4 linked regions of the Nothobranchius furzeri genome follow. The protein of the gene in region 4 purifies or fractionates together with the protein of the main gene of each other region. This does not show direct contact. Links are inferred from orthologs where the notes say so. Each region holds a gene or a part of one and is shown on either strand. Other genes may lie near its edges.

Region 1 (6,064 bases), on a different chromosome or scaffold from region 4:
CCTGGTCTGCATGGAGCAACAGTGTCCTACAGCCAGGCTGTGTAACTTGGTGTTCATGCCTCCCTGGTTCTCCACGGTTGTCTACAAGGTGATAGAACAGCTTTCCAACATCAACAAATGTCTTAACCCAATCAAGAATTTGTCTTACTTGTGTCCTTTCTCTCCTCTAGACATCATGGGGTCATGTCCAACTAGACAACTGCAACTTTGAAGGAGCCCAGCTTCAAATCCGTGGCCCGGGGACCTGCCAGGCTCGATTTTGCTCCTTCTCCCAGGGAAGCTCTGCCCACTTGCTGAGTGTCGTCGTCAGTCTGTTGGACAGCTGTGACTTTTCAGGAAGTGACACAGCTTCAGTGACTGTGGAGGGCCCCCCAGTGTCCGAAAGAAACTGGGCTTGTAAACATTTGACTTCCCTGGCCAGGACATTCCCATCTAAGTTCAGCAGCTCCCCCAGCTGCCCTCAGGGCAGCTCCACTCCTGAGCCTAATCCTCCAGGGGGGGTTGCAAAGGAGTATGTGAGCATGGAGGACTGGAAAAGAAGGACAAGTGGAGAAGCAGTTTGTCAGGGCACCGTCATCGGAGACGGCTGGAGTGATGGTGAGCACAGCGAGGGGGAGGAGGAGAAAAACACAAGAAAACTCTTTACACTGGATTGCAAAATCCCATGTGAAAATCACAGCCTGTCCCATCTGCTGAAGCCTCGAGCGGACGGCTCTCTGCCACTTGCCTCCTCCTCTGACCCTCCGTCTGCGGCCCCTGACCCCCTCACCCTTCAGCAGGAATTAGACAGGGACCCGGAGGCTCAGATCCTAGCCTCATCCATCCTTGGCTGCATTTTGAGACGCTGCCTCTTCAGAAATGGGAAGGGAGGTGTACATTTGTCCAATTATGCACAAGCTCGTCTGGAGGACAACGTGTTCCGTGGGCTGAACTACGCTGTCCGCTGCATCCAAAACTCTACAGTAAACCCAACCTAAATAATATTTGTTCATGATAAATCTGTCAAACGCACCGTTACATCTTTAGAGATTTCATTTCCTTTAACGTACAAACTTAAGGAGCTTGCTGGAGTCATTAGTAATTCAGCAGCAGTGTCACTGGAGCTTCCTCTTTCCCTGCTTCTCCAGATTGTGATGCTGAGAAATGAGGTGTGCGAGTGTCGCGCGTCAGGTGTGTTTCTGCGCCTGTCGGCTCAGGGCCTCATCGCGGAAAACAACATCCACTCTAACGGGGAAGCCGGGCTGGATATCCGAAAAGGGGCCAACCCCATTATTCTGGTAGAAACAGCTTTAAATGTATTGTCTGTGTTCCTGTGTTCTCCGTTATTTCCTCTTTTGTTCTGCAGTGCAATAGGATACACAGCGGTCTGCGTTCTGGGGTTGTTGTCCTTGGCAACGGGAAAGGCTCAATTCGGAGCAACCTGATCTATAACAACAAGGAAGCCGGCGTGTATGTTCTCTTCAGCGGGAATCCTGTGGTGAGGTGAGCTGGACTCCAGAAACAGGATCACGTCTATCCCACACTTCCCATCATCTGGACATCACTCAGTGTTTCTGTATCTTCTAGAAATGTAATCAGAAGCTGTTGTTAAAAACCAACAAACATTTCTTTACAGATGATACGCTGACATGTCCGTAGAGCGACACTCATTAATAACGCTTCCTTTGGCTCTGGTCCGATTGCAGCTGTTCTACCGTCATTATTACGTGATTTACACCTGAAAATCTTTCATATTTACTGTATAAAGCTAAAATATGATAACGGAGTCTAGTTGCATCATAGAAATCATTTATCAACAATTTATTGATATCGTGCCAGCCTCAGTCACATCTGTAGTTCAGTTGTAGCTCTAAACGATCTCAATGCAGATGGCAAAAATAATCCTAAAACACTTAGATGAAGGCTGCATGGTGGCACAGTTGGTAGCTCTGCTGCCTTGCAGCGAGAAGGTCGCAGGTTCAAATCCCAGTGTGTGAAACAACCTGCAGTTGGTGAAGCAGCAAATGTGGCATAAACCATCTTACATAACATCTCTGAGGAAAAACTGGGGGTGGATGTGTTTATGCATCAAATAAAAAAAAACTCACGTGTTTCTGCAACGTTTAAGTCTGAACCGTTTGCTTTCTTAGTGGGAATCACATCTTCCAAGGCCAGGCGGCAGGGATAGCCATTAACGAGAACGGCAGAGGGATGATAACGGGTGTGTATTTGTGTGTGTTTGTGTGTGTGTCTTTGCTATGTTGTTACCAGTCAGCAGGACTAAATCTACACATTTTCATCCCAGACAACGTAATCCGAGAGAACCAGTGGGGCGGAGTGGACATCCGCAGAGGAGGTGACCCCATTCTGAAGAACAACTACATAGGCTACGGCTATTCCGACGGCGTGGTGGTGGGAGAGAGGGGGCGTGGTCTAATTGAGGGAAACCAGGTGTACTGTAGGTGAATTCAGCCTAATAACAGATGAGGAGTGGCTTGTTGCAGATGCTTCACCTCCTCCTGAATCTGACTCAATCAGGTAACAAAGGCTGCGGTGTGTGGGTGATGTCCTCCAGCCTTCCACAGCTGCTTGGGAACTACATTGTCCACAACTGCATGTACGGGCTGGCAGTGTTCTGCAGGAAAGACCCGGAGAACGTTGAGGCCAGGGAGGGGAACTGGCCGGGGCAGGAAGTAATAGGCGGGGACGCAGCCAGTGGGGAAAGAAGAGGAGCAGAAGGTGACGCAAGAGAAGGCCAGGAGAACTTTAATGAGGAGGGTGAACTGTTTGCTTGGGAGAGCGATCTGGACAGTGAGGATGAGCGCCACTCTGCTCGCCGCTCCATCAGCGTGGCCCTGGTCGAGAGCAACTGCCTCAGTTACAACGGAGGTAACAAGTTCACATAAAACACCACGCATTACCTTAAACCCCTGACCGTGTCCCTCCTCTGTCCCTCTGCAGCTGTTGGTCTGTACGTAAAGAGCAGCGAGGCCCTCAATGTTTTTGCAAACCTAGTGAACAGCAACTGTGGCCCTGGCATCGCTGTGCTGCAGAGCAGTCAGCTGACGCGGCTCGTTGCAAACTGCATCGTGAAAAATGGTCGAGGCGGCGTTGCGGTGGAGAAGGACTGCAGGGTGGAGCTCCGTGGCAACGGCATCTATGAGAACAGCGGCCACGGCGTCCGGTTCAGCGGGAACGGGCAGATAGTGGAGAACGATGTGGTTGGTAACGGGGGAAGTGGAATCCAGGTTTCTGTGAGCTCTGATATTAAGGTGAGATGAGGTCACTGTGAAGCAGGTTTCTGTGATCTGCTAGCATTTATGCTTGGAAAGGACTCGATGCTAACTTGACAACGATTTAAAGGTTTAAAAGGGGATGAACGGCTGTGAAATTTTAGAAACTGGAGCATTTTCAAGATGACTATATTTGGATTAGCCATTAGCTCATCAATTCTGAAGGACTCGACTCTTTCTGTGAGTAGAAGCTGTTCAGAAAGCTAGCGGTTTATAACATTTCCCAAATGCACGATGGTGCAGCTGGTAAATGCTTTGCAGCAAGAATGTATCGGGCTTACACTCCAGCTGCAGCCTTTTAGCACAAAGTTAGAATATTCTCTTCATGCATGCGTGGCTTTTCTCCAACAGACCAAAAACCTGCATGTTAAATATAAGCTGTAAGTTGCTAAGTGAATAAACCAACTGTTTACTGATTTGTGTCTGTAGGTGGTTCGTAACCGTGTCCAACCAGCAATGGGCTGTGGCATTGCTCTGCTGGGGCCACTAAAAGCCATTGTCCGTGACAACATCTTGTTCCAGGGTAACCCGGAAAACAAAAAGTCCCTCCTGCACACAGACTTCATCAGTGAAAGTTGTGTGTTGCGCAACAACAGTATTTTGAGACATAACAGGTAACTGAGATCTTCAGATGTCATCATAGCCGCCCGGTCCTGCAGCTTTTAGAGTGTGTTACTTTTATGTTTAGCTCTGCAGCTTCCTGATAATAATAAAAATGTAGGGATGCAACGATACCACTTTTTTCCAAACCGATACGATACCAATACTTGGATCTGAGCACTCGCCGATACCGATTACCGATACCGATACTTCTACCACACAAAAAAATGAAATGAATTGGAATACAGATTTTATTTTCTTCTCTGCTTTCAACAGGAAAAGACTGTGAGGTAGATAAAAAGTAAAATATATGAATGGAAATCATCACAAAACTAAAATATTAGGTGAACAGAAATGACAAGTTACAAGGAAGCCATTTTCAAGCAACTGCATTGGTATCGGTTAACTTTTACCGATACTGATATTGGTATTGGTATCGGCGCCGATACCGATACCAGTATCGTATCGGTGCATCCCTATAAAAATGCACTGTGGACATTGAATTCTGCACCATAAAGCAGTAGGTTTGTAAACATACGAAGACATCTGGTAGATAAAATGTATACATTGGCCTAGAAATCTAGACAAACCATAGCAGCAGCTAAAGACTGCTCTGCAGGATGGCTTACACGTGGGCCAATGGGATGTGCAGATGGTGTGGTCCTGTTGGTTTCATCAAAACGTGATCTCCGCCTGTCATCGGAGCGGTTCGCAGCCGAGTGTGAAGCAGCTGGGATGAAAATCAACTCTATATCCGAGACCATGGCCTTGAGTCAGAAAAGGGTAGAATGCCTTCTCTGGGACCGGGATGAGGTCCTTCCCCAAGCGGAGGAGTTAAAGCATCTCTGGGTCTTGTTCAGGAGTGAGGGAAAGATGGAGCGCAAGGAGAAACAGGTGCATACGTTGTACCAGTCTGTTGCAGTAAAGAGACCTGAGTCAGAAGGCACAGCTCTCCATTCGTCGGTCGATCTACTTTCCAACCCTCATGGTCACAAGCTCTGAGTAGTGACTGAAAGAATAGTGACAGATACAAGCGGCCAAAATGAGTTCTCCACAGGGTGTCTGGACCTTAGAGATAGGGTGAGAAGCTCAGTCATCCGGGAGGGTCTCAGAGTAGATTCGCTGCTCCTCCACATCAAGAGGAGCCAGTTGAGGCGGCTCGTGTATCTAGTTAGGATGCCTCCCTGGTGAGGTTTTCCAGGCACGTTCAACTGGGAGAAGATCTAAAGGAAGACCCAGGACACGCTGAAGGAATTATCTCACGGCTGGCCAGGGAACGCCGTGAGATTCCCCTGGCGGAGCTGGCCCAAGTGGCTGTGGAGAGGGAAGTCTGGGCTTCCTCGTTTAGGCTACTGCCCCCGTGACCCAACCCCGGATAAGCGACCGAAAATGGATGGATAGATGGAAGGACGGCTTGCATGGCTAGCAGCAAACCCTAAAATCGCCTGAGTACACCAAACATCGGTTTAAAATAATACTGCCTTTTCTTTTTTTCCCATTTTGTAGCTGTACACCTGCTCCGGCCTGGGTTCTGGAAAACCCTCCACCTCGCCCACTTGCCGGTTCTCCTGCAGGCCTTTCCTCATCCCGGTTTCCTTCCCGCCTTGGGATTTCCATGACTACCAGAGTTGGAGCCACGGTGGAAAGCGGTTGTCACAGTGGCAGCATGTTCTGCTCCATCCTGTGAAAACCGGATATGGACTCCCGACTGGATAGGATCACGGACTCTGACCTGCTGAAAACACGTCAAGGAAATTTACTTCGTTTTTCTGAAGGTTTCACCGTGGTCGTAACGGCCTAAAGGCACCAGATGAGAAAGAAAACATGCTAGGAGGGCACATTGTGTAAATCTGTGCCGTCACTTTTCAAACTTGGCTTTAATACCCATTCTCATAAAAAATATTTACTATCAAAATGTATTTATTTTTCAGCTATTTTAAAGTGCCGTGTTGGTTTCCACTCGGGCGTCTCGTCGGTGCGTTCAGGGGTCAGGTCTGATAGGATTTTATATTTCTGCTAAGTTTTTGGCAGTAGAGGTTGAAGAAACATCACAGATGTGATCTTCTGCCCAGTGTTGGAGATTAAAGCAGACCGGACGCACTTCAAAGCAGCTGAGAAATCCCCGAGTCCTCTTGTAGTCTCTCACAGGCGTTACGCTAAAATGTTCTTTTTCAGGGTGACTTTGGATTGTT
Region 2 (7,870 bases), on a different chromosome or scaffold from region 4:
ATTGTGTCGTCACAGCAACACCAGGGGGGTCACAAACTCTTCCGTTTGCTCTCCACACTCTGAAAATACCTTTTCACAATTTAAAAGATCGAATTATACTTTTTTTTTAATTTAAAATAAGAGTCTCTTTCGAAGGACCCCAGTAAAATTTAGGTTCAAAGACGGTAAATGTCTGAGCTGCAGTCGGGCGGACAGACAGGACCTGCTTATAAAACCTCTGTGTGGACTGACATAACAAAAATAGAAGCAGCTTAGGCCTGTTTCTCTGTGTGCTGGCTGGGACCCCCTCCCGGATCTCCGAGGGCCCCTGGACCCTACTGTGGGACCCGGAGGCTCAGCCAGACCTAAAATAACACCTTCTGTTGGTTTTGACTTTACATGCGCCTTCCTACCTCTGCGAAATAGACACGTTCCATTGACTTTCAAAATAACTGTCTCTGTTACAGTGTGTGTGTGTGCGTGCGCGTGCGCGTGTGTGCATGCGTGTGTGCATGCGTGTGTGCATGCGTGTCTTGCTGTGTTTGTTAAGGTAAGATATTTAAGCACTTTTCAGCATATCTGTTACATTATTTCCGTGTAAATGCATGCAGCGTTTGTTGGCCTGAGAGCAGGAGGAGGCAGGCTGAAACAAACCCACTCCCAGTTGAAATGTTTGATTTGTGTCAAATGGCTGATTAGATTGAATTAAAACATATCAGACATTTCATTCATGATGCTTCTTTTTGTGGGGTTTTGGGACACGAGTGAGAGGAAACACATTAGAATTACATACGTCTGACTGTTTTATCTAAGCGCCATGATTTTTAAAAGTAATGCATTTTATTACACGTGATTAGTGATGTATTCATTAATATTAATATTTTTGCCATTGCAAATTAAAATTTCCGGAGTCGTCTGGACAAAATGTATTTTTCTTCTTTCTGCCCATTTTTCTGGAGTTTGGAACAGAAACTGGATTGTTGTTTTTCCTGGACCAGGATTCCTCCTAGTGTTAAAATGATCCCCGAACAGGAAAGACTGACAGGACCATGTCATCACAACCAGAGGAGTATTCTGGTGTTAAGGAGCTCGGCGCACCTAGACGTATAAGCAGGTTTTTCACTTTTAGCAGAAGGCATCTGAAAACTATTTGTCTTTTATTGGAGTGAAATATTGCATGAGTCGCCTCATTTGTGACTCTTAACGTCTAGGAGGTAATACAGGTCAGGAGTTGCTGCGTCGCTTTTCACTGACTTTTTATTTCCTTACAGACGCAAGGAGTCTGACTGTAGATCAGCGCGTAAAGAAGACCTGGAGTCTTCGGGATTTGATCTCATATCAAAATAAACCCAAAATAAAAAGCCAACTCGCGGCTCTGAAAGCACCCTTCATTCCCAGCAGCAATCAGCTGACATTTAAATGATCCAATTTCAGAAGTGTGTGACATCTGGCGGAACTACCTTTATTACTCATCAGTGCATGTTTTGGTTAATCAGAGTACTCTCGTCTTTGCCATATAGGGACTATTCTCTCTTTAAGGTGCCGATTTGTTCTAAATCGAATCAGTCTGACGCAGGTTTGCGTGCCATCACAGGCCACAGTGCGCTGCTTCTTCATGGCGCACTGAAGGCTCCGCGTCTGTCTTAGAATAGGTGACCTAATTTTCTGTCCCCAGTTTCCCTCTCAAGCCATTGTTAGTTTTTTAAATAATATTTTAATATAATTACGCTGATTTCACACTATATATTTTAAATTCACCTTTTGTTTAGATAAATAAATCTTTATTGGACTTTTCAACTCCTGTAAAAATAGTAAATAAAAGATTTTTTTAAAGCAACGTTCATGTGATAATTTTAGTTTTTATTGTGACTTATTTGGTTTCCAATGGGATTTATCCCAATTTGAACGCTTGTTGTTAACAACTACGGCGTTATGGTCCATAAACCTGGAGCTGAACAGCTTATTTCGATTTTTTATATTTGAAATACAATTTTAATCGCTTTGTTATTTTAAATTTTCATTTTAGTAAGATAAAACATAATTGTGATGGGACACCGCAGCAGATTCACCGATGAGAACATCAGTCAAACGCATTATTGTTTATTCACGCAGAAATCATTAGATGGGTCTTAACGTAGCTATAACTAAAACAACCATGTTCATTTATGTTTTGAATGTCGCATTTTTATCAGACATCTATTCTCAGAGATTAATTTTAACCAAATGTGATTTCTGATTCGTCATGTCAAAATGAGCTCAGCTCGTTGGATTTTGTTTGCATGCATCCTTTAGGTCGAAGCGCTCCTGAATTTTCTAGATATTTGCACAAAGTAACTTTTATTTGAACTAAAACATGAACCCACCTCAGACAGAGAAATAATGGTTGTCCCTCACATGTAAAAAAAAAAAAAACCCGAGACTTTTAACACTATTTGTTTTTGTATTCAGTAATGAAAGTTCTATGTGATCAAGTGTTTAATAAAAAATATACATTGTTTACTTATAATTCATCCATGCACATTAAACCCGCTGCAGAATATTTTAAATTAAAGCACGAAGCATGTAAGTCTCTTATTTTTAAACGCATCCTCTCTTTTGACCTATTTTCCTTCTTTTAAAAAGTGCCTCCCAAAGTTTTCTCTCCTTTCTTCTTTTAGCAAAACTGTCAGCAGACATGAGAGCATCTCATGACAGAGAGAAGCTGCCACCTGTCTCAAAGTGGCTCAGGTTCAGGTTTCTTTCCGCTCAGCGATATCTGGGAAGACGAGGAGCGACATTCAACAGCAAATCTAATCCCAAACACCAGGAAAAGATGTTTTCTAAACTCTCTCACTTTATCATTTCACACGCTTGGATTTGTGAATAAACGTCATTCTGCAGAAAAGAAAAGTGAAGGGAAATATTTCTGAAGTGAGATGTCCCGTGTCTTATTCTCTTCCAGAAGCAGGCCACATTTATTTTCTTATCTCCAAATTTATTTCACGGATTCTAAATTGATTTTCCAAAACAAAACAAAACAAAAAAAAAAAAAAAAACAAACAAACAAACAAAAAAAGAAGTGAGAAATATCAATGTTTTCTAGAACATATGGACAAAAATACCATAGTAAATGCCTGAAAGTGTGTAATTTTTATTCATTTGCTCATTTTCATGGCTTTATAATCGAATTTTGAATCACGCAAAAATTAACTTCAACCTATTGCAACAGGAAAACGCTGAAAATATTTTGTTCCGCGTATTTGAACAAAATGATCGCTTGTGAAATATATAACTGAGATTCAACTAGTTACATAATCCTTAGCAGCAGGATTATAACGTCAACTTCTTGCAAATTCCTTATAATATTCAAGATTTGCTTCACAAAGATTCTACATGCCTAAACATCGCTGGAAGCGTTTGACAAAAATTAAATAGAGCAATTATCGATAATTACAAGTTTGTTAAGTGTGTTTCTAAACGGATGCATAACAATAATAATGCCCGATACCCAATATGACGAGATTGTCTCTTCAAATATTTTATTCCATAAAAAATGTATACAAAAAATAAATCAGCAAGAAATTTAAATGTGGAATATTAAAATAAATGAAAATTAAATTATAATTACAAGTTAGAGGGAAAATCTTTTCTTCTATCGACATTTGCCGTTACCATAGCAACAGTAGAGCGTTACTCACAGGACTCACATGCGATCCAACTTCCGGTTGTAATCGTTTCCTGTTGAGATGCTACAAAACAAAAAAAAATACAGACTGAATTACAATGCTACGGTTACAATACAGTCTTTGTGGTGGTCGTTATCCTAGTTTAAAAATAAAACGAACCCTCCAAAAAATAAAAAATAAAAACGTTGAGGCAGCAGCGCGTGCGTGATGCAAACTTCGCAGCTGCAGCCTCTAGCTGGAAGTTAAAATGGCGTCTGTTGTAATCCGTCAGTGATCGCTCTGATAGCTGGACTCAGCAGCCTGTAACTGGTTACCAGCGTTTCTCTGTCAAACGTTTAGAGGATAGCTAGCAAGATGTCGGACTCGGAGGAGGACAGTCAGGACAAGCAGCTCAAAATTGTCGTGGTTGGAGACGGAGCGTGTGGGAAGGTGAGAGCGTAGCAGCAAAACGACCACTTGTTGTTACGCGCTATTAGAGAACAGCACAGCTATTCTAGCGTCACATTTGTCGGCAAACTGTGTTTTTGTCTGTTGCGAGACTTTTCAAAGCAGCATCCAGCTCCTGCTGACACAGCACTGCCCTAGTCACCATGGCGACCGACGCTAATGCAGCTAGACAGGCTAGCATCATAGCTAACAACAACACAGCACAAAAACAAAGCAGCACGGAACGTCAAAGCTTTTCCTTCTGATTTTAGCACCGCAACTTAAACACTTAAGTTAACACCTACATCACGTTTTCTTTGTTTTGTACTGCAAACGTTTAAAAAAGACAGGGAGAAATGTGTGAGTGTGTGTGTGTGTGTGTGTGTGTGTGTGTGTGTGGTTTGAGAATATCTCATGTCACAACTTCTGCGTTTATCAAAATAGTTAGTTAAATAACACAAAACAAATAATGTCAAACCTTTTGTGTGCAGTATTCAAGCTGACATCTTCAAATATCTGTTATGTGTTGTACAACACAAAAACATCTTTCTTTTTAAAGATATTTGTGTTGTGCTCCTACTAAAAAGGATTGCTTAAGCGATATGTTTTTCATCAAAATGCCTTCATGCTTTCTTATTAAAACTACATTATAATAATTTACATATCATTGGAGGGAATCTGAAATGCCTGCTCAGCCATTTGTAAGGTTAGTAAACCATGACCTTTCTCCTTTATTCACCAGAACTGAAGTGTTAGCTCTTAAAGGCTGACGACTTGGTGGAAATGTTAATAAATGTACATTTGTGTTTACTAAAAAAAAGTACTGTTTTTTTAATTGCTCTAGTTCGTCAAAGTAGCTTTGCATAAAAAGCATAAACAAAAAACAAATAGATAAACAAACAAATAAATAAAAATAACTGGATGGTAACCACTTAATTAGATTACTAATTTTAGCTTTATTTGGATACTAAACAACTATGTTAACATGTCATAATGCAGTCAGTAGATTCCCTAAATCAAATAGTATGTTTCCAATTATTTATATTTGACTTAATACAAAAAGTTTACATGTTGAAAACAACAGAAACAATCATGAGGAATAACAAAGTTATAAAAATGTGCCATTTTCTTTAAAAACAGAATTATTTTTATTTGGTTTGCAGGAGGGGAAAGCAACTTTATTAAAGTGATAAAAATCAAATAGCATTCATGCAAAGTTGATGAACAGTTAAAGTTATGATTCTGTCTTAATGATGCATTTAAATCGAACACAAATCCGTCATTCTAACCACTTAAGTCTATCCAGCTTTTAATCCATGATGCATGTACTATTGAGTGAAGTAGTAGACTTGTGTCTGTGTTGCTGTGTTTTATTGTAACGGCAATTGTTTACTTTTGAGTAAATATACAGTTTCTTGCATCAGTGCATTGCCAAGAAGCACACTTTAACTAGAAAATCAGATTTGAAATTAAGTCTCTTTTTCAAGAATGCCCTGAGCAGACAGCACAGATTAAGACCTTACAAGTTACAAAAATCAAAACAACTGAAAACCATAATTAGCATTTTTATAATGTTGCTTGACAGCCCGATGTCTCTGCCTGTCAGTCATTAAGAAAACTGTTTTAAAGGTACCACACTCCTGCAGCTTATTTAAACTTAATTTCTACACGGAACAAGGCGTCTTTAGACTATAACCACCTGGTTCAACACTGAGTAACACACAAAACTTAATAGTTATATGTCATACCCTAAAACTGCTACTGCTGTCTGGCTAAAACATCGTACTGTGCAGCATTAATAGAAGAGTACGGATGCTGAGGTCTCACAGCTGATTGCATCACATGGCCAATATATTTACAACCCCCCTGCATGTGATTCCAGGGAGAGCCCTATTTAGGAAACATGTGTCTGGGGGAAGCAGTAGCTCAATAGGTTGAGCTGGTTGTCCAGTAATCGGAAGGTTGCAGGTTCGATCCCGGCTCCGGACAGAGAATTCTGCTGTTGTGTTCTTGGGCATAGTTGCCTGCTGGTGGTGGTCGGAGGGTCCGGTGGCGCCTGTGCTCGGCAGCCTCGCCTCCGTCAGTGTGCCCCAGGGCAGCTGTGGCTACATTGTAGCTCATCACCATCAGCGTGTGATTGAGTGTGTGAATGGATGAATGATACACTGTAGTGTAAAGCGCTTTGGAGTCCTTACTCTGAGAGGCGCTATACAAGTGCGGGTCATTTATCATTTATCATTTATCATCATATAAGAAACTTTACTGTCTTTTAGTGGTTTAAGACAGAGTCACATACTTTATTTATAGATATCTCCTCAATTAGTAAAAATAACACACCATTAAATCTCATTGATAAATCATCATTTGCTACTCACATTTGACCTTGGGTTCACTTTCAAAGTAAAAAGTGATTAATAATCATTACAGCTCAAACCCAGCCTTGGACTTAAACAGAACTACACAGGAGATTTTCACTAAACCATCATCTGCAGTGAAAGCAGGGTGGTTGTCATGACAACTCAACCATGTTTCTTCTTCACTGCACCTTGACTCCCAAGCTGACTGTGATTGCCTTTCAGAAACACATCCTCTTTTGTAACTAATCTCTTCACCCTGTGGGAGAAAAAGAAAACGAATGTGTCTGTAATAGTGAGCCCCAATGAGGAAAATGAATGCTCTCATGGAAAGTTGACTTTTACTCTTTTGGGAGGGGCTCTATCTGTGTGTGTGTGTGTGTGTGTGTGTGTGTGTGTGTGTGTGTGTGTGTGTGTGTGTGTGTTGGTTTGTTCAGGGGACACACACAACCCAGTTCCCAGTAGATACGCTACATTAATAACCCTCCTCACTTTGCTGCCAGGTGTCAGCTCGTCTCTGTCTGAATGACTTACCTGCTTGTCCGTTTTGGACAGAAAACAGGAGCCCTGCCCCCCATTTTGACTCGGCACCACTGACTGACATCTTGAATGCCGTTTCCCCCCCTTATTAATGTCAATTTGCTGAGCAAATTGCAATCGTATCAGTTTTTCTTGGACAGCCTTTTCAGTGGTATTTTTTGCTTGCGGTTGGTTGTCCATTTAGAATATAGGCAGATGTGGGAAGGCTTGTCCACCTGAGCAAGATGTTTTTAAAATATGGACTCTTGCATTTAGCCAGGCTCTTAAGATGGGGAGCTGAGTGTACACACTGGTCTATTTTACAACCTGAGTTAGAAGCCTCTCAGTTTTCCAATATTTGCTTCTCTGTGACCCATAGGACAAGAAGGAGCTTTAGGTGCAGGTCCTGAACCTTAATTATTGCTAAACTCCTAATCAGACAACATTTATGTCTATCAGAACTTTTTAAAGATTAAACGTTTTGTTACAGAACTGTAAAAATGCTTCTCCTCTAAGTAGCATCGCATGGTCTTAGCAAGTTTCTTGTTTCATTAGCCCTTCCCTCATTTCCCGGCACTGGTATCAGTGGTGACCCTGTGCTGTTCTGTGTTGGAGTGTCAAGATTATGCCAGCAATTACATTTCACTGGTTAGTTCTTGTTGTGCTGTGGGAAAGAAAGGAGAGCCAAACTACTAGAATGCCAAAAGAAATGGCCGACCGGGCCAGTGAGAGCATGTGGAATACATTTTTGCTGTCCCAACAAGTTAGCCTTATGTTGTTATTGATTGTTTGGGCTACTTAAATGGCCGATTTTCTCCTTGTTGCATCAGTCACCTCTAGTAATTTCTCAGTCACTCACAAGGCTGTGACTAGTTTTACAGGATGAGGAAAAAAGCTCTATAGATCACTGATATTTTTAGTTGTCAG
Region 3 (7,895 bases), on a different chromosome or scaffold from region 4:
CTGAGCCTTTCATGATGTTTTCCACGTCGGAACGGTTTGCACTCAGCCGGAAGTTAAAATCTCCAAGCCAGATCACCTGGTCAAACTTGGAAGTGACGTCAGCTGAAAGGCAGAAGGAATAAAAACTTCCTGCCAGAAACTCATGCAGCAGGTTTGCCTTTATTTCTGTACTGTTTGCTTACATGGGTCGGAGCGATACTGGTTGGTATCTGGGAGGCTTTTAGGAAGCCCCAAAGCCTCGATGATCTTGTTGTAATCGAGTATTCTGTCGTAAACTTTGCTATCCCCAGCTGTAACAGGCAACGCATTAAAAACCGTTACAGAATGGGTTTCTATTGGTCAGGTCAGAATAAATCCTACTTCCACTAAAAGGTTTTCCTCAGTGAGAAAACGGCTAACGTCCCACACTCACATGTGAAGTGGGACGTTATGAAAAGGAACGAAGTGCCAAAAAAGGTAAAAGTGACTCCCAGAGCGCCTTTGGTCTTGATCTGAGAGACGATCCTGGTGGTGACTGTGGCGTGTTCCACCTCTGTAGAGAGAGAGTAAATGTTATAAACCAACAAATCCAGCTAAGACATTAGAGGACTTCACTCGTTCCAAACGGCAGTGGTGCCCCGGCAACATTTTCATGGGGGCCAGTGAGAATTTTGGGGTGGCGCACCAAATCGGTCCTTGTGGCACGTCAGGCAGAGTTTTGCCTGTGGCTGTGCATTTCATTGTTCCTTCATTCACTCATTCACAGCAATGAATATGTCATGTTGTTGATTGGTCCGAGCGCTGTCCAATCATGTGCAGACATAGATTCTGCCCCACGACAGAGGCCCGTCTGTGGGTCCATCCATCCATCCATCCATCCATTTTCAGCTACTTATCCAGATTTGGGTGACGGGGCAGCAGCCTAAGCAGAGAGCCCTCTCCTCAGCCACTTGGGCCAGCTCCTCCGGGCGAATCCCAAGGCGTTCCCTGGCCAGGTGTTCCATGTCCTGGGTCTACCTTTAGGTCTCCTCCTGGTTGAACGTGCCCGGAAAACCTCACCAGGGAGGCATCCTGACCAGATGCCCGAGCCACCTCAACTGGCTCCTCTCGATGTGGAGGAGCAGCGGGTCTACTCCGAGCCCCTCCCGAATGACAGAGCTTCTCACCCTATCTCTAAGGGAGAGCCCAGCCTCTCTTCGGAGAAAACTCATTTCGGCCGCTTGTATCTGTGATCTCGTTCTTTCGGTCACTACCCAAAGCTCATGACCATAGGTGAGGGTAGGAACGTAGATCCACCGGTAAATCGAGAGCTTCTCCTTCTGACTCAGCTCTCTCTTCACCACGACAGACCGGTACAACGCCCGCATCACTGCAGATGCAGCACCAATCCGCCTATCGATCTCATGCTCCAGTTTTCCCTCACTCGTGAACAAGACCCCGAGATACTTCAACTCCTCCACTTGGGGCAGGACCTCATCCCTGACCCGGAGAAGGCTTTCTACCCTTTTCTGAATCGAGACCATGGTCTCAGATTTAGAGGATTGATTCTCATCCCAGCTGTCTATGCGTCATGGCCAGATTACATATAGAATGGCTTGCTAGGGCAGCCATCTTTACAAAACCTATGGACATTCTACTTTTTGGTGAGCTGCAGCAACCTTTATATGTTTTTGATTATGATTTCTTTTATTTACTCATTTTCTATTTTCATAAGGTTTTACTTTGATGTCTTGATTGAACAAGGTTAATTTTTGGGTGAACATTTATACGATTTATTAAAATGGAGGGGCCTTCCCTGGGGGGCCAGTGAGATGGCCAGCAATTTTCTAGGGGTGGCCATGCCCCCTCTTGGGGGTACCACTGCCGACCAGATCTGAAACAGAACCAACCTGAACAGAACCATATGAGGTCTCTCCTGGTAAATACAGTCAGGTACAGAACACCATGTGATGCTGTATACAGCATGACGTAGTGAGGTCCCAGAGTCTCCTGAAGACAGGTCTCCCACTCCCTTCTGCAGAAACACACACACACACACACACACCAATTTAACACAGTTTACAACAATCACAACCTCTTTTTTTAATCACAGCACATCTCATTTCTGAAAAACCCAACTTGTCAGGGCACCCTTCCTGGACTCCAATGACATAAAAATCTTGTGCAAATTCAGAATCTGTAGGAAGGAGGAGATCGTTCAAGGTGGCTGGATGGAACTGGAAAGGACAGAAGCTTAGTTACCACTTGGTTTGGTGTGAGATGCTGCAGATTCAGGGCTTCCTCCTACCTTCCCACCCTGCATGTTCCACGTGACCACGTAGAATCCCACCCTCCTGTTGGGGAAGTATCGGTCCAGCTCCTCAGCCCCGAGCAAAGCACCACTTCCCAGCATGCTGCCCTCTAGGAAGCTCCTGGAATGGAGGCGTTGGAAAGCTAAATCAACCCTTGTTTGAAGTTTTATCATCAGCCAATTATGACATTTTCCAAAGCATTTTGTTGACTAATGTATAAATTCAGGAAATGTACAAGGTTCACTCATCCTTTATAAATGATGTGGATGTTTTAAGTCACATTTATGATTAGGAGGCATCAAATATCTGTCATGTTCTGTGTCCTTTTGGTCCCCAGCCCCCTCCAGGTCTCCCTCATGTTCCCCCTAGTCACTTCACTTAGTTATCCCATCCCATTTAGTGTTAGTCTCCTCATAGATTCCCTCTCTTTTGGTTCTGGTCTCCTTAGTTTCCCCAGTTTAGAGTCTTCGTCCCCGCCTCCTACTGGAGACCAGAAGACTCTGGGGCGCCGGCGGCGATGAGGCAGGGCCAGGAGGACCCCGGGAAGCCAGGGACTCAAGAGGCCGGAGACTCAGGCGGTGGAGCTGGGGAACCTTGGGGGGCCGGGGCCGCCTACAGGCCAGTCAGCAGCAGTGGTCACCACCAGCCCGGTCCTCACCCGTCACCTCCTGTGCCCCAGACGCTGGCTCCCTAGATTCCTGATCCACCGCCTGAGTCTATGAGGAGACTAACACTAAATGGGATGGGATAACTAAGTATGAAGTGACTAGAGGGAACATGAGGGAGACCTGGAGGGGGCTGGGGACCAAAAGGACGCAGAATATGACCAGATCAGTTTATTTCCATCAGTTCCTAAGCTTTCACCATCTCTGTAAATGAAATACTTCTTTGTAAATTGCTTTTTTATTTTTACATAAGATTTTAACGTCTTGACTGAACTGGACTCTACGTTTTAGAGCTTGACCTGATAAAGACAAATGTAGTGGATTTGACATGCAAAACAAAAAATGCAGAAAACCTTTATATATAAATAAATAATAAAACTTTAGCAAGTCCTACATGTGCTTACTTTCCCAGTGTCATTATGTTAACTCTCCACCCTTAAAGCCTGCTTCTAACTACCAAGTAGGAATAACAAGCCTTCACTTGCCTGGCCTGCTAGGTTAACCTACCTGGTTCTCACGTCTTTGGGCTTGATGGGACTAAGAACGCTGTAGATGGACTTTAAGGAGTTTACAGAGCCACTATCTGACCCCATGTTCTCCAGAAGCTTGCTGCCACTCAGGTTCCTGTGAATTTTCTCTCCAGTCCTCTCTGTGGTCAGGGCGGGATAATCTGAACAATCCTTACCAATCCTATTAGGTAGCTCTTTAATGGCTGACACAAAGTTGTTCTTCTGAGCAGTGTGTGTCCTTGTGGGATGCACTGGAGACAGTCGCACCTTGCCGGATCCCTGATGGTCCTCCAGGACACTCTGCAGGCCCTGTGGCCTGCTTTCATCTTCTGACAGACTGCTCACAGGAGATCCTGTAGTGATAGCAGACTGAGGTCTCACATCGAAGTCCTCCTCGTTCCTGACTGGTTCTGTCTGGTCTTTAAGCGAGTCTGTGGAGGAGCCGGTCTCAGCTCTGTCACTCAGGCTCTCCTGGCTGTTGTTCAGCCTCCTGGTTCTTAAACTCTCCTCTGCTGAGACACTTCTTTTGCTGCACTTTGACAGGCTGGTTGCCAGCGGGGCCCGAGGGTGGTATTTTGTAGTCTCCTCTGGCGCATTTCTAGCAATAGTTGCAAAAGCTTCATTTTGCTCCAAGGTAGATTTTACAACCCCTAAGGACTTTATGATGGTCCCCCTGTCTGTGCCATTCTCTCCATTTTCAGATGACTCACAGGGATAAAACAGAGTACAGTTCTCCCCATTCGCTGCCATCCTCTTCTTATGTCAGAAAACTCCTGCTTCCAGCTGAATGAGGCTCTCTCATCGCTAAACACCAGCAGATATGAAAAAAATACGACTTAATGAAAAATTCAAATAAGTTTAGCCACAATGTCATTAAAGTTGATCTGTTTACTGGTGGGTTTGATGCTATCTGAATAGCAAAAACAGACCAAATATCCCATTTTCTCATGTTTAATGCAGCTAACAAATAAAAAGCCGTCATCAACAAAAATGAGCAAACTCTTTATTAAGAATTAGCGTGTCGGACACCTAATTTGGCTACAAACGTTATTTTGGCACAACATAAGCAGACTGTGTATTTTGTTGTAGCTGATGAAGCTAAATGCTAGAAACCGCTATGTCTCCATATTTACAGCTAGCTAAATAGCGTTCTAAACCGACGTTTTTAACTCGTAATAATGGACCTTGGTCGTTTTATTTTTTGTCATCCAATACTTCTTTCACAATTATATGAGTGAAGTACATTTACCTTTAACTACTGCCCCCAGACTGGCTATTTCCAAAAGAAGCTCCGTTACTTCCTTAGCAACGTTTAACAACAGATTTTGTTACCAAGAGCGTCACTCTGTGAAGTCGAGACGTCACAGCGCCCCCGTCTGGTTAGAAGGTAGATTACAACTGCAACTGGGATCCCGTCTTTTATTTATTTTTCTGCTGATGAATAATCTGCTACGAATAAAGTTCTAAAGTGCATTATCTAAAATGTAACTGTAATTACTTAAACAAACAAACAATAAAAATAAAAACAAATGCACAAAAACAAACCATGTGGTTGTGATAACTAAATATTCACTCAATTATAATCATGGTTAAAAAGAAGTGGGATAGTAATATTGTGTTTGTTTATTTATTATTATTATTGGTAGTAGTAGTACTAGTAGTAGTAGTAGTAGTAGTATAACAAATAGCTATTTCTGTATGACTACAGAACTGTATCATTAATTTTTCTGAAACAACCAAAAGTAAACAGATTACGATTTGGTCTTGAAAAAAGTTTATAAACAGTAGTAGTAAAGAAAATGTTTCATCAAAATGTCCTGAATTATCTGGATGATTATGATCCATTATCTTGTATTAAATGAAGAAAACTAAAAGGATGTCCTATTTCTTTGCAGATCAGTATTCTATTTTACTTTAAAGAACAAGTCACCCCCTACCAGAGTCTAACTCCGCTCCCACTTCCTGTTTGAAAATTGCAACAAATGCTGTTGCCTAGCAGACCGAGGGGGCGGAGCCGCTAACAAATAAACAGGCTGTGTCTCAATTCAGGGTCTGCATCCTTCGTCGGCCGGTTACGTCACCGCGCCGCGACTAGGCCTGTCCCAGTTCGAAGACTCCTTCAAATGCGGTCGACGAATGCGGCCTTCTTTTTGCCTGAATGAAGGATGGGTCCGGTGTATCCTTCAGTGGTTTACATTTCCCAAGATGCCTTGCGGGTCGGACGGCAGAACTTTTAAAAACAATGGCGGACAGTGAAGCGGGAGCTGTTGGAGAGGATTGTGCATATAAATGTCAGTATAAACTTAAACTGTTAGGTTAAGGACTTTTGGTGATACATGAACGTTATTTTAGTTAGAAATGTTACAGTAAAAGTGCTTGTATTGCGGTCTCGGCTCGTATGTTCGGCCGCTCGGTGTCGTACTTCTCCCGCTACGTTTCCCCCAGATTTTAATAGAAGTTTGTATTTTAGGGACAAAAGAGAAAACCAGGGAATTTATTAAGCTTAGGGCGGAGATGGACCACATGATCACCGGAGCAAAGTGTTCGGCGGCTGTGGCATGGAGGTACAATAACATCTCATATTTTAAGTTTAGTTTTTTCTGTGAAAACATGAAAGGAATAACCCGTTGTCCTCTTTTCTCTTCCTGTTGTTTTCTTACATGTTTGTTAAGACTATTCTGGAGGAAATGGGCATCCAGGGGAAGGTGACAGCGATGACCAGCTTCTGGAGCTGATCAGGGAGGACATGAGGCTGCAGAGGGAGGCAGAGCAGCAGAGGGCACAGGAGAGAAGGGAGAACTTTGACAGAAAAAATGGTTAATAAAGATTAAACATGAACATATAAAAGAAATATCTAAATAAAACCAGTTCTGTATTAAACTCTTGAATTTTATTTTTGTTTACAAATGAGAATTGTTTACTAGAGGGTATCCGCTGGGTCTTAAAGTCTTAAAAGGTGATAAATGGGTTTTGGTCAAATGAAGACCCTTAGAAAGTATTAAAAACTATTATCACATCTTTGCTCAGGCTCAGCTTGTCGAAAGTATTTCTCTGAATTAGCTCTCCAACAGTCAAGGAAATGATTAAAAAGCTAAATAAAACTTCGAGCTCCATCGTTTAAAGTTCCTTCTCCCTTCTGCTCAGCGGTTCCACGGTTGCTAGGCGACGGAACGTTCGCCGAGGGAGCGGCGGGAATTCATGAAGGCTAGGCCTGTCCAAATTCACAGCCGTTAACATCCGGTCTACCCGGCCGACGGAGGACCCAGCCCACGCCAGCCGAGTAGGCTGGGTGCAGACCCTGAATTGAGACACAGCCACATGCTAATGACATTGTGACATCATATGGTACCAGCTAACCTTCTAGGGTACCTCTTAGCCAATAGCGATGGCAGATTTAAATTCAAATGCAGAGCAGAGTTTTTACCTGACAACGGCACAACACTGACAGTTTTAGGCAGAACATTAAATTTGAACTAAAATGCACCAAAGTGCAAAATTATTGACTACACGTGTCTGCAGCACGATTAGACACACATTTATACAGTTTATCAGGGAAATAAGGTTGATTTGGGGGTGACTTGCTCTTTAATCTCTGAGATAGAGTATTTGTATTTTTATAGACATATATATGGTCCTATATTTAGTTTAAAACTGTTTTTTAATTAAATTAATTAAACCTTCCCACTGACATCACTTGTTGAAACACTGCCAGTTAATTGTTCACTAAAAACCACCGTGCTCATGCACATCAAACTTTGTCTTTTTATGTAAACATCTGGGAAATGAATATTTTTTATTGTAATTTTCACCATGAGTATTTTTACTCTTTCACAAACTCATAACAGCTCCCTACATGCATCACATCCTGCTAGAGTGAGTGACTTCACAATCAGCAAATTATGTCACAAAAAACGAAGAATGTTGCTGACAAAACTGTGCGTATGGTACAGAAAAGACAAAGTGTGACCTCTGATTGTTAACCCTTTCATCCTCTCTCTGACCCCCGTGTTGTACGAGAAGCAGCCACTGAAAGCATTTCTGAGCTCACTGGCCAATGGAAAGGTTGACAATTCTTCTATATTCTGTGCTTTTCTATGACGTTGCTGACTCGGGGAGTTTGGACAAAGGGCCAGTCTGTGGGTTAGGTATAAAAGGAAAGGGTTAAACCAGGAAGAGTACAGTTTGGTGCAAGAGCAAGAACAGCAGCAGCAGCAGCAGCCTACTGACCATCAAAATGACCTCCAGTGGAATGAACACCATGAGCAGAGTAAGTTTTGTAATGTTTGGTGATCCTGGACTGGAAATGTCTGTCTTTAAATGTTTTGATAAATAGCTTCTCTAGTTTCATACATTTACTTCATAATGAGGAAAAAAGCTTCAAATCTGACCCCAGAAGACTGGAAATGAAAGTTAAAACTGGAAATAGTGTTCAGCAGCCAGGGGCCTACATC
Region 4 (7,941 bases):
TTCCCACTTTGTCTTCTTTGAGGGATAATAAATGTCCTGAGCGCTGCCGTCTCCTCCTTTGGCCATTATTTCAGCTTTAGCTTCAAGAAAGTTTTGGTTGTAAACAACAAAGCGTGCATGTGCCGCCGGAAACTTCAGCAGATGATACGGTGGCTGGTAAGGGTCACCGCGCCTACACCGCAGCCACGGTAATCCACTGAGATAATAGTTTTTTTTTAAAACAAGACGGTTATTTTTATTGTCAACTTTTTTTTACCGGGGTTTACAGCTACACCGGTTACCGTGACAACCCTACCTGATTGGTCTGCTTTGATCTTTTTGAAAACTCCGATCAAAACCGATAGGGGCGCTATCGGCCCATTGGGATCAAATGCCGATCCATCGGTGCATCCCTAATTACTGGATAACCGGCTCAACCTGTTGAGCTCCTGATGCCCAAACAAATCATTTATCAAATCATTCAACCCTTTAGTAAAACACTTGCAGTTTAGACGTTTTAAAATAACAAATTAAAGTTGAGTTCACTCCTGGAAATAAAATCCACCATCATAGACTACAAACCAGAATTCCTCCAAACCCTAATCACAGCTGTTATGAATGTTGGGGTGTTTCCTTTCTGGAACACTTTGCTCCATCAGTGAATTTGTGCAGGAAATGTCTCAGATGGTTTGTGAAACATGACTCTTGTGACTGAGCTCTGAGACAAAAGTTAAAGTGGGTCAGGGTCACTGGACAAAAGCAGCCTGTGAGATGCATCTCTCCACGTATTGTGGTCCCCAAGCTGTAATTGTTTCACTAAATTCATTGTGGTGTGTTTTATCATACATGAAGCTAGTCATTGCATGGTGGATAGCTGCAGCCTGAGCGACAGTCCTTTCAGAGTGGTTCACAAGGAACTGGTGTTGATTCTGTAGTAGAGTTTAAAAAGATACATTAGCGTTGATCTGACCTTGGTGAGACACTTAACTGAATAGAATAGAGAATTATTTTATTGTTCTTTGGTGGAGAAGTTTTGATGTAATATTTAGATTCACAAGAACAATAAACAGTTGTACAGTGAATAAAATATGTGTTGAAAATGCTCTAGTAAAAATACTGAATTTGATTTGCTACCTATAAAAAATACTGAGTAATAAAATAAATATTTACAGGAAATAAGAAAATAAATTGAAAACTGCAAGAGATGAATGAGGTACACCCCTCTGAAATGAATCTGTTTCTTTCAGATTGGCACTCACATCCGGGCCAAGAGAAAGAGAGAGGAGTTGAGCAACGTTCTGGCTGCCATGAGAAAGGCTGCTGCCAAGAAGGACTAAAGTCTGACTCAATAAATGTTTGTTAAACTAATCAAGCTTCTGGCTACTTTCTTATTATGCAAATGTGTATTTTGATTATCGTAAGAATTTCATTTTATTTTTTAATAAAAATTGTTGGTATAGGTAACTTTTGGAAGCAGCCTGTGTGGAGTTCAAAAAGTAAATCTAAGGTGTGTGTACACAGTCTTATGTGATATTCAATTAATGAAAGGCTGAAATCTTACTGCACAAAACTCAGCCTGAAGTCATATTGTTCTTGGTAGGGGTATGATGGGCCTTGGCTACGCTTGAGAAAGATAGGTGGTGTTTAGTATACTAACAGCTACTGGGTAAAGGTGAAAACTGTTAGGTAGTCCTGGCTTTGATGCTGCTGAATATCCAGCTGGAATGTGCATAGTTATTGAGGGACCTCTTGTGACGCTAGCATTCCTGAAGCTGTGCTGTTACTACTTTGAAGTACACTGTTACAGATTAATGTAAACTAGTCTTTAGACCTACAGTCATTACAACTATTCAATTGGAAGACAGTTTTATTAAAATAAAATCAAACTGAAAGCCTGTAGCCTTAAAAATGCTTGGGGCCATCTTACAAGTCAAATCTAAGATCAAAGCATTCAGGTTAAAAAAAGCTAACAAATCTGAAGCTAACGGATGCAATCCAGATAAGCAACCTGCAAAATGTTTTTTCAACACTTCAAAAATACATCCTTAAAGTTCATTTCTGACCCTGAATGGCTTGGCCTGTTTAATCTTTTAATTGCATTTAAAATATGATTTTATTATCTAAAAACTTATGTTCATATAAAGTCATTCAGCAGCAGCAACCTGTTAGCAATCAAAACCAGTTACAGTGCTAGTTAAAAGAGCTTAAAATAACAAAATAAAATGTTAGTTGAATGTGGTTAAAGCCCAGAGCATAAAGGTAATTAAAGATCCTGTTCCAACTGACTGGAACCCATCCTATTGAAGCATGCTGCATGGAAGGCTTGTGTTGGTTTGTACTTTTGACAAGTTTACCCTGCCAATATGGCGGAATCGCTTACGTTTTTAAACAAGTTTTATTTAACCAATAAAGCTTACAGGCTTACATAAGAATCAATATTTACAGTTGAATTCTGAGCATGACAAAATAAAGCAGGTGTACAAACAGAAACAATAATATTAACCTAGCTCAATATCAACCTGCAGAAATCATAACTATATATATATATATATAAATATATATGTGTGTGTGTGTGTGTGTGTGTATATATATTACATCAACATTTTTAGGGGTAAAGGAAACATTTACCAAATTGTTATAGAGCCAAATGGCTTTCTTGGAACTACATAATTTAAGAGAATCCATAAAGGATGCAAGTTCTTTAAAAAAAAAAACAATAAAGATCGGTTTGATGTTGCCAAATTTACATTTGTGTATAAAGAATTTGGCGAAAATAATCAAATTATTGACAGTGAATTGCTGCATTTTATTTTCCAAACTAATACCATTCTTGATGTCAGAAAAAGATAAGGAGCGTATAATGAAATTATTATGCGTTAACCACGAGTGAAAACTATCCCAGAAAATTTTGGTAAAGATGCATGTGAAAAATAAATGTATCTCAGTGTCTATATTAGAAGTGCTAAAGGCACAATTGTTCTCTCCAATATTAAATTTAGACTGCAAGAAATCTTTGCAAGGATAAATACTGTTTATAGTTTTAAAATGAACTTCCTTGGCTTTAGGAGGGATTGGGAATTTGGGATAGTTGCATCTAATGTTTTTAACATCAGAATTACTAAATTGACGCACTAATTCCCGTCTTCTAAGAGGTAAGGGAAAGAGGGCGTCAGTGAGCCAACATCTAAGGATTTTATTATTGCAGTTCCTGTCCACAAAAGAACAGTTCTTAATTGTTAAAGGATGCATTTTTGGAATAAGGTGAGAGTACGGAATCGCTTACGGAGGAAACTGGTGTTTGGTTTTAACGGCGAAACGCTCTATCCGTTTCCGTCCCGCCTACTTTTCTTTCACGCGCTGTGATTGGTTCGTAGTAGTTCTCGTTCCCACTGAGTGGCTGTGAGAGCTGTCTGTCCGTGGGCGGGTATGTTTAGCTGATTGCATTATTGGAATCGGATTTATCCTGTAGTCTAACTGTTCTGGATTAATTTCGTATTGCCTGCTCTATTCCTGGCGAATTTCGACTGTCCGGTTGGCCTGCTACGATAAAGTTAACGGCGTCATTTCCCCCCCACATTCTGGATAATCGGTAATAAACGGAAACTGTCCCGAGATGTCTCGGAGTGAGGAAAGGGCCAAGGAGATTTTGAAGGGCTTTAAACTGTATCCTTCCACTGGGTGATGGTAATGTTTTTCACGGTTAAGCTTGATGTGTTGTTATAACTACTGCTGCAGTTAGAAGTCGGCTCCTAAGATTCTAAAACAGCTAGCTGTTCATGCTAACTAACCGTTAAATGGCAAAATTTCCGACGTGCTAACAACCTGTAAGTTGCTGCCTGTTGGTGTGACTGATTAAATTCGGTTTTATGGGGCTGTTACCGATCAAACATGTTGTCTGAGCGTGTCGTGGAAGCTGCTAGTTCCGTTAGCTCCATATGTAAGCAGCTTTGCGTGAGGACTTCAGGTGGATTGGTGCTGCAGCTGGCCCCCTGTGTGTGCTGCTACCCAACCTGAACAGGACCTTTGCTAGCAACCGTTTCTTTTGGCTGTACCTTTTAAAAGTCCTTGAATCAAACTAGAAACTTTTAAGTGGTTCTGCCGCAGAGTGGAACATTCAACTCCACCTTTAATTGGAGCCAAAGTTTTGGCCACGAGCACCGTCTTGATTTTGAGGGAGGAAAATATTTCATAAAGTCAGCACTCTGTTCACTGTAGCACCAAACGTGAGTTCATCATGACAGCTGTGTGGTGTGGTGATGACTTTTATAATGTTTTACGTGATGACAACAAATATTGTAAGAGGTGATTTCTGTGGCATGTTCAACTTTACCGGTGAACCCCATCAGCACCTCTGCCATCTGGTCGGATTCTAGAGAAAATCGTCAATCTCATCAAAAGAAAATAAAAAAATGCATTAATTTTAATATATTTTGTTTGCACGAAGCAGGAGGAATAGTTTACTTGAGGAAGCTGGGATGTCCGTAAGTGATGCCATGAGCTGCAGCTGTTACTTTTTTCAATCTGTGATTTTACTCAAATGCTTATAGATATCCAGACACTGCCCATGTTCTGAGTCGTCTGAGTTTAGAGGGAGTTTCTAGGTTGGATGGTGTTTCAATCAATCATTTTATTTATAAAGCCTCTTCCCACCCCCAATGAAGGGGGTCCAAGGTGCTGAACATAGTGCAAAGAAGCAGCACAATAAAACAGCTCTATAATAAAATACAGAGATGAAAACATAAAAAAACAATTAAAAAAAAGAGGTTAAAACAATTTAAATAGTGATCGAAAACATTAAAATGTAAATAAAAACAACGAAGAAACAGATCTCAAATGCAGCTTATGCCTTGCTTTAAAGGTGGGCAGCGATGTGGACTGTTTGATTTCTTGTGGTTCCAAAGCCGAGGACCCCAGAACTGCAAAGGCACGAACAACTGTAAGATGCCAGGAAGCTCATAATTTCAGCGAGATTTAAATATTTCCCATTTGTTCCCAGAGAATTTTGCAGACTGTTGCTGTTTGTTGTTGGACCTTTTCTGAGAAACTGGATTAAATGTTTTTTTTCTGGTTCAATGTTGAATTTTGCCCAGGAACAATCAGGGTGGGTGCAGAAAGGGTCTGGTTCCATTTCTCTTTGCCGTGTTTGCCTGTTTTTACTTAACATCGTGCTGGCAGAAATTGGATGAACCTTCGGGATGCAGAGACGGGTAAGGTGCTGTGGCAGGGAACAGAGGACCTGTCTGTACCTGGAGTCGAACATGAAGGTAAATCGCAGCATACATTATACAGTAGATGGGTAAATGACACGCTCATTACTTTTATTTGAGACTCCATATGGGAGTAAAAACAAATTGGCACAAAGTGTGACAAAACAAAATTCACATAACCGCTTCACATTCCTCAGATCTCTCAGCTCGCTTATCTTTGATTTTAAAGGAGAAACATGTTAAACAAAGGGTAAAGAGGTGATTAAGAAAATAATCTGGCAAATACTTTGAGTTTCTGACTACCTCTACATTTCTACGCCCAAAAAGCAAATTCAACTAATCTCCCACACAACCAGTGCCTTATTTAACACCCATTTAACCAATCAACGTTCAAAAGAATTACCAAAAAGGGACACTATCTCTAATGATAAAAGTTAGGATTTGTTTTTGCCCTCCTTTTTTTTCTGCAGCTGAATTTTTTTCCCTCTATTTCCAAGTTTAACAAATCAATAATTATATTATTAGACTCTATTCACAGCTGTTCTAGATCATTTCAACCCTCAGGAGGCAGGCGTTGCAGATTTGCAACGTTAAAACCTACCTACCTGGTTACTCCACATACGTATTTCATGAGCAGTTTTTCCTTTTATCAAAACTTATTTTAAGCTCGAGAGGGTTAATAAAAAGTAAATATTCAGTAGTGATGGGTTTCACCCTGTCCTGTGGGCTCCAAAACAAATCTGATGGTTGATAATATCCAGTAGTTTGGACGTGTTGACCTAACCGTGATGTCTCCTCTCCTGTCTCAGCTCGTGTCCCAAAGAAGATCCTGAAATGCAAAGCGGTGTCCAGAGAGCTGAACTTCTCTTCTGCTGAGCAGCTGCAGAAGTTTCGGTTGGAACAGAAAGTTTTCTTCAAAGGCCAGTGTCTAGAAGGTAATGTGTGAAACACACTCTTTCAATACAATCTTTATTTTAAAAAAGCCTGACATCTAGTCCTAAAAGTAGATGGGGGGGGGGGGGGGGTCTGCCCAGTGGATGGACACTGGAAACATGTTCCACAAGAGAAGAGCACACCTGTAGTAGACCTGCATACCGACAGCTCAGGGCTTTGTTGGGAACATTTGGAACGAAAAGCTCTTTAAATGAAGTAAATTAGTTCGATGACGATGAAAAAGCTGATGGGAGCGTGTTTCGGTGCTGATCCTAACATCTCATGGGTTTACCTCCACACACCTCCTGACCCCAGAGACGAGCCTGAGCTAAGAAATGGTGTTGGGTGGTTCTGGTGTTTTTCACAGCTGCAGAGTGTTTGCTTCAGTTTTTAATCTACATTTCTGTCATTTTATGAATGAATATCTGATTTGGATAATTTTGTATTTATGTTGAGTGTTTTTTAAACCGTTTTGATGGCCTCTGATTAATTTGATCAGAAATAATCAGTAAACATTGTTAAGGGGAACTGTGCAAAGAGGAAAAAAACAGTAAATGGTCACTGTTCTGATGTCTAAATTATAAATTTAGAGAAGGTGGCCAATTTTCTTGTTTTTTGATTTTTTTACATGAGATTTGTGACGGATGAGAATCTATAATTTCTTACTTTAAAAAAGCCCAAGATCCGCTGTAGAAGTGGTCAGGGTTTTAGATTTGATCCCCTGTTCATCAGTTTGACTCTCCTGATGTAGAACCAGTAATACATAAGCAACCAGTGAGACCATCAAAAGAGCCACGATAACAAATATAGACACATATATCCCTTCTGATGAAACCAGCAGGTAAACAGGAACACACGGATGTGCTAAAATGTAAAATATCGTAGAAAGAACAAACAAGATCACGTAAAGAGTCCGCTCAGGGAACGAGGAGGTTCTCGTGTCTCTGCTCGTGTGTCTGGAGAACTGTTCCCAAGGAGCTACGGTTACTGGAACGCCCTGGAGAAAACATGGCTCTCCCATCACAACACATTCACTTTAGTCACACTTTCATTTCGAGTCTGGAGATTTCACGTCTCCTCACAAATGTTTCCTGGCCACAGTGGTCTGTAGCTCAAAGCCCTGTGGACATTACACACCACGCAGTTTCAGCTACCGATGGTGAAGAATTAAAGCCAGACTTGGCATAGACGCTAATCAGTTAAAACATTTTTATCTAGAGATTTTTGCATTTGAGATGTTTTAGATGTGTTTACATCTGCTGATTGAGACCAGGTTCTGTAGATCCAGGCGGTTTCAGAGCAGATTCCAGGAGCAACTGGCTCAGAAATGGCCCAGAACCAATCAAGTGGAGACACACACATGTCAGGAAGCTCCTGTAAATGTACTCTGAAGTTCCCACAGTGGAAACGCACCTAGTGAGGTGTTTTCTAAAACCAGACGGGGGCTTTACTTCTGCTGGCTCCCCCCTTTCAAAACAGAGAAGGCTGATTTTCAAGCAGAAGGGGCTCCTTCCGTGTCCAAATAAAAGTTTAGCAGACACCTCATTAGACACGAGCCAGTTCTAATGAAACCTACCCTGTGATTATTAAACAGTTTCACAGTAAGTATAACTAACTTCTATCATAAAAATGTCATGGAAGGTTTATTGTGGAAGCAGAGCTGAAGGGCGTGTCTGTCTGTCTCTGTGCAGAATGGTTCTTTGAGTTTGGGTTTGTAATCCCAAACTCCACCAACACGTGGCAGTCCCTGATAGAAGCTGCTCCGGAGTCCCAGATGATGCCAGCCAATGTTTTATCGTGAGTCTGCACAAACCTTTTCTTC

What was found.
Region 1: the proteins of pde6d (region 4) and fbxo10 purify together in Homo sapiens (affinity purification with mass spectrometry; 3 studies listed by BioGRID and IntAct, with this or other methods). This does not show direct contact. The link is inferred for Nothobranchius furzeri from reciprocal best matches to the Homo sapiens genes PDE6D and FBXO10.
Region 2: the proteins of pde6d (region 4) and rab28 purify together in Homo sapiens (affinity purification with mass spectrometry; 3 studies listed by BioGRID and IntAct, with this or other methods). This does not show direct contact. The link is inferred for Nothobranchius furzeri from reciprocal best matches to the Homo sapiens genes PDE6D and RAB28.
Region 3: the proteins of pde6d (region 4) and inpp5e purify together in Homo sapiens (affinity purification with mass spectrometry; 3 studies listed by BioGRID and IntAct, with this or other methods). This does not show direct contact. The link is inferred for Nothobranchius furzeri from reciprocal best matches to the Homo sapiens genes PDE6D and INPP5E.

What each region holds. Positions count from the first base shown.
Region 1 is NC_091747.1:78,699,672-78,705,735, forward strand, and holds the end of fbxo10 (F-box only protein 10), read left to right. Parts: coding exon 1-88; intron 89-170; coding exon 171-962; intron 963-1,127; coding exon 1,128-1,277; intron 1,278-1,345; coding exon 1,346-1,482; intron 1,483-2,129; coding exon 2,130-2,200; intron 2,201-2,284; coding exon 2,285-2,437; intron 2,438-2,517; coding exon 2,518-2,868; intron 2,869-2,940; coding exon 2,941-3,251; intron 3,252-3,701; coding exon 3,702-3,886; intron 3,887-5,378; coding exon 5,379-5,559; 3' UTR 5,560-5,950; downstream 5,951-6,064. UniProt on the Homo sapiens protein: Substrate-recognition component of the SCF (SKP1-CUL1-F-box protein)-type E3 ubiquitin ligase complex. Mediates the ubiquitination and degradation of BCL2, an antiapoptotic protein, thereby playing a role in apoptosis by controlling the stability of BCL2.
Region 2 is NC_091741.1:80,044,133-80,052,002, forward strand, and holds the start of rab28 (ras-related protein Rab-28), read left to right. Parts: upstream 1-3,863; 5' UTR 3,864-3,998; coding exon 3,999-4,073; intron 4,074-7,870.
Region 3 is NC_091750.1:32,696,157-32,704,051, forward strand, and holds the start of inpp5e (phosphatidylinositol polyphosphate 5-phosphatase type IV), read right to left. Parts: upstream 4,819-7,895; 5' UTR 4,694-4,818; intron 4,249-4,693; 5' UTR 4,195-4,248; coding exon 3,443-4,194; intron 2,391-3,442; coding exon 2,267-2,390; intron 2,196-2,266; coding exon 2,098-2,195; intron 1,994-2,097; coding exon 1,869-1,993; intron 533-1,868; coding exon 413-532; intron 291-412; coding exon 183-290; intron 103-182; coding exon 1-102. Other genes in the region: gamma-crystallin M2-like, read left to right, coding at 7,679-7,711. UniProt on the Homo sapiens protein: Phosphatidylinositol (PtdIns) phosphatase that specifically hydrolyzes the 5-phosphate of phosphatidylinositol-3,4,5-trisphosphate (PtdIns(3,4,5)P3), phosphatidylinositol 4,5-bisphosphate (PtdIns(4,5)P2) and phosphatidylinositol 3,5-bisphosphate (PtdIns(3,5)P2).
Region 4 is NC_091756.1:55,089,947-55,097,887, forward strand, and holds the start of pde6d (retinal rod rhodopsin-sensitive cGMP 3',5'-cyclic phosphodiesterase subunit delta), read left to right. Parts: upstream 1-3,386; 5' UTR 3,387-3,592; coding exon 3,593-3,642; intron 3,643-5,154; coding exon 5,155-5,243; intron 5,244-5,995; coding exon 5,996-6,121; intron 6,122-7,810; coding exon 7,811-7,916; intron 7,917-7,941. Other genes in the region: rpl36 (large ribosomal subunit protein eL36), read left to right, coding at 1,227-1,316. UniProt on the Homo sapiens protein: Promotes the release of prenylated target proteins from cellular membranes. Modulates the activity of prenylated or palmitoylated Ras family members by regulating their subcellular location.